Arabidopsis thaliana: one gene and its partner. The protein of the gene in region 2 purifies or fractionates together with the protein of the main gene of each other region. This does not show direct contact. Each region holds a gene or a part of one and is shown on either strand. Other genes may lie near its edges.

Evidence for each region. Proteins that work in one complex are often made in the same cells at the same time.
Region 1: the proteins of AT1G16820 (region 2) and CPN60A fractionate together in Arabidopsis thaliana (co-fractionation; one large-scale study listed by BioGRID). This does not show direct contact.

The regions. Positions count from the first base shown.
Region 1 is NC_003071.7:11,924,355-11,930,425, forward strand, and holds CPN60A (chaperonin-60alpha), read left to right. Parts: upstream 1-2,091; 5' UTR 2,092-2,248; coding exon 2,249-2,302; intron 2,303-2,616; coding exon 2,617-2,800; intron 2,801-2,897; coding exon 2,898-3,019; intron 3,020-3,093; coding exon 3,094-3,301; intron 3,302-3,386; coding exon 3,387-3,532; intron 3,533-3,614; coding exon 3,615-3,921; intron 3,922-4,006; coding exon 4,007-4,458; intron 4,459-4,542; coding exon 4,543-4,830; 3' UTR 4,831-5,134; downstream 5,135-6,071. UniProt on the Arabidopsis thaliana protein: Binds RuBisCO small and large subunits and is implicated in the assembly of the enzyme oligomer. Involved in protein assisted folding. Required for proper chloroplast development.
Region 2 is NC_003070.9:5,756,145-5,760,576, forward strand, and holds AT1G16820 (vacuolar ATP synthase catalytic subunit-related / V-ATPase-related / vacuolar proton pump-like protein), read right to left. Parts: upstream 2,510-4,432; 5' UTR 2,321-2,509; coding exon 2,223-2,320; exon of another isoform or gene 2,059-2,222; coding exon of another isoform or gene 2,042-2,058; exon of another isoform or gene 1,416-2,041; coding exon 1,337-1,415; intron 1,254-1,336; coding exon 1,164-1,253; intron 1,070-1,163; coding exon 1,055-1,069; 3' UTR 691-1,054; downstream 1-690. Other genes in the region: AT1G16810 (7-dehydrocholesterol reductase-like protein), read left to right, coding at 6-153, 264-550; AT1G16825 (Reticulon family protein), read left to right, coding at 2,733-2,899, 3,506-3,647, 3,927-3,996, 4,108-4,196.

The DNA.
Region 1 (6,071 bases), on a different chromosome or scaffold from region 2:
AAACTTCAAGAACAACAAAGAGAAGAAGAACAAGAAAACAAAAAATAAGGTGTGAGAATATAACTAGTATTCGGATTTAAATTTGGTAATATATATCATAATCGTCAAGATTTCAATTTGGAACTATAAGTACCATGAGCAAAACAAATACTCGCGAGGAGAAACAAAATGAATAAGGTAAGTGGAAGTGATAAAGACAGATAGATCTCAGAAGAAAAAAGGGAACACAACACATACCGATCGGAAGGTGGCCGGAAAAATCGTCGGAGCTCCGGTGGTGAGTTTAGATATGTATGTAAACCGACCGTGGGAGATAGAGAGAGAGACTGAGAGAGACTGAGAGAGAATAATGATTGCGTAAAGCCGTAAAATCTGTAATGGTTTTTTTCTTGACGTATTAAGGTGGGTTTTATCAGTCTTTCTATTACACGGTACTGTACTTACTCTCTTAAAAATCTATTTTGTCGGTTTTTTTCCACGAAAATTATTTTCTTCTTTAAACTGATACACATGTATCAATATCCAAATGAAACACATTTTTATACAAATTGAAACATGCAATAAACTACGGAATATCTAAAAAACAATAAAATTAACGGCCCTAAAATTAATTTTAACTAAATTCTTTAATAAAATAAAATAAAATCATAAGTCTATAAAGTATTAGTTATTTTATGGTAGTTTAATGGTTAATAATTGTTTTTTCATATAGAACATAGGAATGTGGTTAAATTTCAGAATTTTAATACACTTTTAACTTAATTATTTGTTTATATGAGGCACTTTAAGTTTTAGAAAACTATAAACACATATGCAAAACATCAAACCAAATTATGTTTTTGCATGTCTTTTGTTGCATGCTCTATATATCCTAACTATTTTTGCTTAGTAGTCCACTAAATTGTTTCGTTTCAATCACAACCACTCAAGAAAATAATTACAATAGATTACTAAAACAAGTTAACAACAGTGTTATTTATTTACTCTTTTTGTCGTAATGCTTTAAATTACATGTCTCTTTCTTTTCATCGGACAACTGTTAGTGTGTTTTTTTGTACATCAGGACAACTGTTAGTTTACTCATGTTTTCTACATTGTACATTTTGGCAGTCAATTTTACGGCACGGTTTCCATTAAAGATATGGACGTCATCTTATGGTAAGCTGCATCTTTTGAGGAATAATACATGTAGACGTCCCTATTTATAATTTTTGTGTTACGTAACTTCCCTTTTGTTATTAATTAAGTGTGTTTATTTGGTCAATTCACTCAATCAAATCAAACCCAACGCCAAACTGCAACTATTTATGTGATTGACGCTTCAGAGTTGAAACTGCCACTTTTGTCAGATTTATTATCTCACTTCCCAACTTTTCTTTTCCGTAACTAGTGAATTTATTCATGGGAAACTAATTTAATGCATGGTATATGATGCGTACAACAAGCAATACTTATATGAAAAAAGATTTAGAAACAAATTGTATTGGCTTAACTAAATCAATTAATCATGTAGCAATTAGGTGATTTGGAGTCTATTCTCTGTTTAGAAAAGTAGTAACTGTTGTCTTTATGAGAGTTTCTGTTTTACTTAGCGGGTAAATCTACTCTAAGCTAGGTGTTTTCATCCACTTAACATGTATTTTATAATCTCATGGTTTTCACAAGTCTTAAATTGTACTTATTAGTTTGGTCTAAATATTACTCCCTTTGTTTCATTATATTGGATGTTTTAGGGATTTTATTTTGTTTCAGATTATAAGATGTTTTACAAGTTTAAATTTAAATTTAATTTGACTATTTGTGACTATTTATATTTTGCAGTTTTCATTATCATTTTTTTTAACAAAATCTAAATACTATTTTTTATATACAAAATGACCTAATATGTATCCATTTACCTTAAACCTCTTATATTTTAAAACAGAGTGAGTACATTCAGTAAGAGAATGGATAAAAACGAATTTGGAATACACAAACTATAAAAGTTTCTTGAGTACTGTTTCTATTATTGGGCCATAAACAGTGAGACAAACAGGCCCATAGAAGTAGGTGAAAAAGGCTTATTAAGATCAACGGTTCTCTCGTTACGAATGCAAAGAATCTTCTGGATCCTTTTTCTCTCAGCTACTCTCTCCATTTATCTAATAAACCCTAACCCCTCCTCCCACACTATTCGTTTACACTAACCACTTCCTTATCCACACCAATCCAGAACGTTCCTCAAAAAGCTCCCTCCTTTTCTCTCAAAATGGCGTCTGCAAACGCTCTCTCTTCCGCCTCCGTCCTCTGTTCTTCCCGTCAGGTACAAAGTTTGTTCCTTTTTACCTTCCTTAGCTACTTACTAAAGAAGAAAATGAATCATCTTTCATTACTTTGTTTTGATTGGATTTGACCCTTCAGTGTTATCTATTTTCAAAAACCTTTCTCTATCTGGTTTATTGGGTTTTTGAAGAAAGTGATTGAATTTGACCCTTTAGTTTGTTCTGTTTCAATTCAATTGCTTTTCTCTATTTGGTTTCTGGGTTGGTGAGAAAAGGTTAATTTTTATGGGAATTAGAAGAAACTGATTGAGATTAATGTTAATGAATCTGCTTTATTGATGTTGTGGGTATACAGAGTAAGTTGGGAGGAGGAAATCAGCAGCAAGGTCAGAGAGTTAGCTACAACAAGAGGACAATCAGACGTTTTAGTGTTAGAGCTAATGTAAAGGAAATAGCTTTTGACCAGCACTCTAGAGCTGCTCTACAAGCTGGTATTGATAAGCTTGCTGATTGTGTTGGTCTCACTCTTGGCCCTAGAGGTATTTGTTAATATTAGTAGCTCCTTTACTCTTTCCATCTTCATCTGTGTTATTTATCTTTCGACTTATCTTGGTGTTTTCATTTGTTATTCTTAAGGGAGGAATGTTGTGTTGGATGAATTTGGAAGTCCTAAGGTTGTGAATGATGGAGTCACCATTGCTAGAGCTATTGAGTTACCTAATGCCATGGAAAATGCTGGTGCAGCGCTTATTCGTGAGGTTGGTGTAGCTTTGTTATTGTCTCTGTTAATGCTATTTATACGGTGCGGTAATCTGGTGTTGTTATGTGGTAGGTTGCGAGTAAGACTAATGACTCTGCTGGTGATGGGACAACCACTGCGTCTATCCTTGCTCGGGAGATAATCAAACATGGATTGTTGAGCGTCACTTCTGGTGCGAATCCCGTTTCACTCAAGAGGGGAATTGATAAGACTGTTCAAGGTCTGATCGAAGAGCTTCAGAAGAAAGCTAGGCCCGTGAAAGGTCGTGATGACATCAGAGGTACTAACTTTGCAGTGACCTTCCTTGTGATGCAGCAATGTTTGATTTCTTTTACTGATCAATCTGTTCTTTTTTTTTTTTCCAGCTGTGGCTTCTATCTCTGCTGGAAATGATGACCTTATAGGGTCAATGATTGCTGATGCCATCGACAAAGTTGGACCTGATGGTGTTTTGTCCATTGAATCTTCATCTTCTTTTGAGACCACGGTCGAAGTTGAAGAAGGGATGGAGGTATGAGTTTTTTTGTCTTGCTTCTCTTCAACTGTAATTTTATTCACCATTCATTGCCAATGACTAACTTGATTATTTACAGATTGACAGAGGTTACATCTCGCCTCAGTTTGTTACAAACCCTGAGAAACTACTAGCTGAGTTTGAGAATGCTAGGGTATTGATCACTGATCAGAAGATCACTGCGATCAAAGACATCATCCCTATTTTGGAGAAGACCACTCAGCTTCGTGCTCCGTTGTTGATTATTGCAGAGGATGTTACTGGTGAAGCCTTAGCTACCCTTGTCGTGAACAAGCTTCGTGGTGTCCTCAATGTTGTTGCCGTTAAAGCGCCAGGATTTGGAGAAAGAAGAAAAGCCATGCTTCAAGATATTGCAATCTTGACAGGTATATGCAGATTTCGCGTGCGTTTAGTACTTTTACTTTCTCTCTGTTATGGTCTAAACTTTTTATCATTTTGTATGTTTTTCAGGAGCTGAGTACCTAGCCATGGACATGAGCTTACTGGTTGAAAACGCAACCATAGATCAATTGGGTATTGCCCGAAAAGTCACGATTAGCAAAGATTCGACTACCCTCATTGCAGATGCAGCTTCCAAGGACGAATTACAAGCTCGGATTGCTCAGCTGAAGAAAGAACTATTCGAGACTGATTCTGTGTATGACTCAGAGAAGCTCGCTGAGAGAATTGCGAAGCTATCTGGAGGTGTTGCTGTCATTAAAGTCGGAGCAGCAACTGAAACTGAGCTTGAGGACCGTAAGCTTCGTATCGAGGATGCAAAGAACGCAACATTTGCTGCTATCGAGGAAGGCATAGTTCCAGGTGGTGGTGCTGCTTTGGTGCATCTCTCCACTGTTATTCCCGCCATTAAGGAGACTTTTGAGGATGCTGATGAACGTTTGGGAGCTGACATAGTACAAAAGGTAGCATTTAGTTTTTCGGTTCAGTATTTGTTCTGTAACCAATTGTGACTAGTTATCTTATAAGGGTTTATGTTTTGAGTTCAGGCATTGCTGTCACCAGCTGCTCTTATTGCTCAGAACGCTGGAGTTGAAGGAGAAGTTGTTGTGGAAAAGATTATGTTCAGCGATTGGGAGAATGGGTACAACGCAATGACTGATACATATGAGAATCTGTTCGAAGCTGGAGTGATTGATCCGGCTAAAGTGACAAGATGTGCGCTACAGAACGCTGCTTCCGTAGCAGGAATGGTACTGACCACTCAGGCCATTGTTGTTGACAAACCGAAACCCAAGGCTCCTGCTGCTGCTGCTCCTGAGGGTCTCATGGTGTAATCAAAACACAACATCTTATCATCACAATGGCATCTTTGTCTTTTTGCACATTTGTCATCCCCATTTATCTGCAATGTTTTTCTTTTTTGGGGGAATATGAGTAGTTTGTTAACAGTATCGAGAAATAATTATCATCTTTTTTGTCCAATGGAAATTGCAGAAAATGGTTATGTATGCGACCAAACATTTTATATGTAGCGAGAGTAGTTTAGCAGAACAATAAGCAAATATGCGTACAAACTGAATAATGTTCCAACTTACTATACTATTAAACTAGGAGGGAACAATGTTTTTTCATGCCTTTACTAGTTTTCTCATAAAACTTGATCTGGATATTGCACTTCGATGATCTACGAACCATTAGCAGATCTCCGGTGATTCGATACTTCTCCTTGTCGTTTATTGCACAGGCACGAACTTTGACAAGCACAAGACATGACAGTTTCTCTATGAAATGTCTCATTTCCTCTAGCTCTTCAATTGTTCCTTCATATTCAGTTATCTTCAATACTTTCACAGGACATCACAATCCATATATTCTTGTAAAGTTAAGTATATATACAGGGAGATCAGACTCGTTGGAACCACTCGTACTTTGACTTGGAACTGCTCCAAAACTAAAAGAATTTTTGGTAGATGATTATGTATGTATCCTTCTCTTCCTCCTCTTCTTGTTCTAGCTTTGATGGACTAAAATACTAGTCAAAATTTTGCTTAATATATACCCCTTATTGCTTCTCAGAGATATATCTACAAAACCGAGGATCTTCCATTTTGATGGAATCAACCGAGTCTTGTTCCCGGATGCTTGTCATCGCAGCTAGAGATATTCGAGTGGAAAGGATATAGAGATAGAGTAGAAGGGGAAAAATTCTTGACATACATTTTAGCCAACTCTAAGCGTTTAAAGACCGCAACAATCTCTCTGCCCTTCGATCTTGAAGATCAAGAGGTGATCATCGAGGAGTTGAAAGATATTCCTAGGGTTTCAACAACATCTCACCTTTTGTTCATATGAAAATTCTATGGAAGCTTGGCGAATGGGCAAGCTTAGACTACTTATCTGCTATTATATGTTTTAATCAACTTGCAAAGATTAGTAACATAAAAAAAAATATTAAGAATTCTAGACAAGTTAGACTACTTCCTACAAACGTGTAGTGGAAGGTGCTAATATTTGCCAATACAACATTAATAAGAATCTTTAAGAAACCAATCCATGCCTAGAAATATAAATTTCA
Region 2 (4,432 bases):
AAGAGATGTCGGCATACGACAATGTTATTGGTGGGAAGCTAAAGCTAAAAGGGAAGGCTTTGGATGTGAAAGCAGGTGGAGTAAAGAAGAAGAAGAAACATAAGAGACAGGAAGAACAAGCTCTTAAAATTACTGATCATGAACTCATAGAAGGTAAGAAACAACAGCTCTCTTCTCATAACCATAACTAATCTGTTCATCAACATTCATCGACAAAGGAGAGTCAATTAATTGTTGTTTGGCTATTTTGGGTTTGGGTATAGGAGAAAGCACTGAAGCATTGGGTAAATTGATTGAAGGAGAAGAAGGAGATGAAGAAATGAACAGGAGTGAAAAGGCAAGCGAGGATGCGAAGTTGCAGCAGCAGCTCGATGATGATGATCACTTAACGCCAGCAGAAAGGCGATACATAGAGCAGAAACAAAGATTGGATGTGCAGAAGCTAGCTAAGGAAGCGAACAAGTCTCACCGTAACAGGATTGAGGATTTCAATCAGTATCTGGCTAACATGAGTGAGCACTACGATATCCCTAAAGTCGGACCTGGTTAATATAATTCTTTCTTGTCTTTGTTTTACTCTGCTTATCTATTTTGCATCGTTAAACGACTACTTTGGATGTCTGTTATGTTTAGTCCCTTTAACTTTTGAATGATGTGATCGCAAATCTGTAATGTCAAAAACACATTTTCTTGGAATATTTCTTCTGCATTTCTCAACTTCTTTAAAAAAATTGTGAGAATATTTAACCTTTTTGAACCTTGTCGTAAGAGTTAATATTCCTTTTGTCTGTACACCAACAAATAAATGAAATCATGAAGAGAGGAAGCGAGAACATATATCACAACAACCACTTATTTCTTTCGGGCTCAAAACCTGGATTCATGGACTCATCATTACCCCACTGTGATGATGCTCGATGCTCGAATACTTCCGATTTCTGAAAACTGCTTGCTTCTCGAGTTCCATCTTCCAAGGCGCGTTCTCCAGAAGTCAGATCATTATTACAGTTTCTTGAATTTGGCTACAAGTGTATCTTCTCCCTCAGCTGGATCTTCAAACTTCTGAAACCTAAAATAACCAAAACTCTAAGTTTAGATCTTGATTTCTTTTCTAAACAAAATCTAACCGAGAAAACAGCTTCATCAGTAGAAGATTTGCTTACACTAAGCGGTAGAAAAGATCTCCCAAGCGATGTTTGATGAGAGTGTAAGTAACCGTCTGAGCCATCCACTCCAGCTGCTCTGTCAATAGCCTGTGTTATCGATCACAAATATACAAAGTTTTCAAAAACCAAAAGAAACACGCAAAAAAAGGTTGATAACTCAAGATCGATACCTGATTGGCCAAGTTGTAGAAATGAATAATGTTACGCATCATCCACACGGATTTGTAGGAAGGGGAGAATTTGTCATAGCTGTCACATTCTATCAGAAGTAAACAGTTAATTTACTCAAGTTATATTCCCCATTGCATCATGAGGAAGGGCGACATGGTGTGTCGTCAGCGTATTCTCAAAGACAGTCATACATTTCAAAATTTGACTATCAGAAAAGACTATAGCTTTGCAGTAGTCTCCAAAGGCCTTTATGTTATTAACAGAATACTCTCTAGCAATAGTGAGAAGCTAGAATCTCTAACTTGTTATGTTATTTCCAATCTAAAACTCTAAAATTCCAACTGAACCTGATTCCATCAAAAGATATTTCCCAATATTCCTGATCCAAGCTCCACTGATAGTGGCTAGCAGAAATATATAAATTAGCTACAAACCAAACCAAATCATCTCAAGACAAAAGCCAACACAAACCTTGTTTGTTCGAAACCTACATTCTGATACACTCATGTAATTCCATTCTGATTTCGAAATATTGATTCCACCGGACAAAAAATTGTCAAACAAGTGAGAATCGACAAAGCATAAATTCGCAAACCAGGGGAAGAATCAACAGATTCAGTCTTACAAATTTAGTTATCCGGCCAAAATTAGATCACAAATAGGAACATCCTTCAAAAAAAAATTAGATAGAGAGCAAATCAGACCTTGCGAATGTAGCCATAGTAGCTCTCCTTCTCAAACAAATGACAGAGTTTATATTTTGAAGGAGGAGGATGATCTAATTCTAAGAGTTACAAGAGCTCGTACATTCAATTTGGTTTTTATAAAGTCCCACATCGCTAGTTTAAGAAACACTCGCTCTACCACGTTTGATATAAAACACACTTCGTATCCATATCGCAACTCATACCTTTCTCGGCCTTTTGGCTAAGATCAAGTGTAGTATCTGTTCTTATCAGTTTAATATCTGATATGTGGGCCATCGGCCCACACGATATTAACTCTATTTTTTAAGGGAGAAAGCCCACTAAGATAGCTTGCTATCTGGGCTTTCGCGAGTCGCCCATGCGTTGCACTACTGCACGGGCCGGCTCAACCCGCCAATTTCAGTGAAAATTTCTTTTATGTCAAATACATATAAATTTTTAAATAAGCTATATCGAACTAAATATTGAGGCTTGAAGCCTTGAACCAATCAAAACCATTAACAATATCTAATTACGAAATTGCTGGGTTTCCAAACTGACCAAGAATTTGGTTTGTTTCTTAATAAGCCAAAGGCAAAATCGATTCTGAACCAAACAAACCAGCAATTGGAATCCAAACCGAAACTCTTGGGAAGTTTCATCTGAAAGAAAATGTCGGAACCAAAAATTCAAGAGAGAAGAAGAAGAGATGGGGGAAATGGGAAAGGCGATAGGATTGCTGATAAGCGGGACGCTTGTGTATCACCATTGCGCTAATCGCAACGCGACTCTTCTCTCGCTCATCTCCGACGTTCTCATCGTTCTCTTATCTTCACTCGCCATTCTCGGCCTTCTTTTTCGTCACCTCAATGTCTCGTAAGTTTCTCTAATTTCCTCCTTAAATTTTCTTTCTTTGAGTGTTGGGCTTTCTGTTACATCTCCCATTTGCCGATCTAAGGTTACAAATTGAGAAATTCTTTGTTTGGCTGTTTGATCTGTTCAGAATTCAAAATGAGTGAGCTTTTTGTTGTGTTTAGTTTTCACATAATCGTGTGAATTGTTGTTGTGATGCTACTAGCTAGTTTCAACGTGTTTACGACATGAAAAGGTTTTATTTTGCTTGCCTTTGCTTTTGGTTTCAACATAAGGAACTAGGAACCATAAAAGTGTGATTTGATTCGATGATATAAACGGTTTAAATTTACTCTTGCATTCTTAAAAGTCACATTATCTACAAAGCTCAATCTTTTGTTTCTTTGAATGTAACAGCTTTTGATCTTCATGACCATGAGCGTTGGGGAAAAAGTTGTGTTTTTCAACTGTGTATTTCTCATCATTCTATCATTTTCATCCCTCTTCTCTGATCAATGCAGAAATTACCAGCGTTATTAGTATAATTGATTTGATGATTCACTGTTTGAAATACTCTTGCAGTCTTTATAGGGTCACATGATTTAACAAAGTAGTAACTTTTGTGTGAAGGGTACCTGTGGATCCATTAGAGTGGCAAATATCACAAGACACAGCCTGTAACATTGTGGCGCGCTTAGCTAATACTGTTGGAGCAGCTGAATCCGTTCTGCGGGTTGCAGCAACAGGACATGACAAGAGGCTCTTTGTTAAGGCAAGTGCATTCTGGTTTCTTCCTTGTTTGCATTACAAGAGGTAGTTTCTTCGATCACCCGGTGCGGTGCCTGCATGAATAGGAAATGTGTATAACAACATTCAAGCATTTATTGATGAAGACAAAGATGGTTAAGACCATTGACTGAAATTCCACAGAACCTGTCAGTTGTGGTTTTAGCCAATTACCACTCCGATGCAATGCAGTTCTCTGGTTTTATGCTTGGTGGCAGAATTCTAAACTGAACTTTTTTTATCTTCGCCTGTTTCTGTCTCTCAGGTTGTGATCTGTCTTTACTTCTTGGCAGCTCTAGGACGAATCATATCGGGTGTGACCATTGCCTATGCAGGTAAAAGCACAATGGTTCGCTCTTAAGTCTTAACCATAATATGGAATGATGCTTTCGATATTTAGTGTAGGATACTTTTTCTGACACTGTTAATTCTTCTGTGTACAACAGGACTATGTTTGTTCTGTCTCTCCATGCTTTTTCGGAGTTCAATTAGAAACTCCGTATTGAACCGAAGAAACGGAGAGATTTTGGATTGAGAAACACCTTCAGAGTTGTAATACACAATTTGCCTAAACGTGTTATATTCTTTGTCCTCTTTCCACCTTTACATGTTCATAGCTTTGGATAGTTGTAATAATGCTTTCAGTTCCTAAATGTAGAAATATTAATCATAGTTAATCTTTTCTAAGGAAATGAATATCTAGCAAATTAAATGAACAGCAGAACCTAAAACCGGAGTGTACCGATACCTAAAGAACCGAACCGAGTTCGG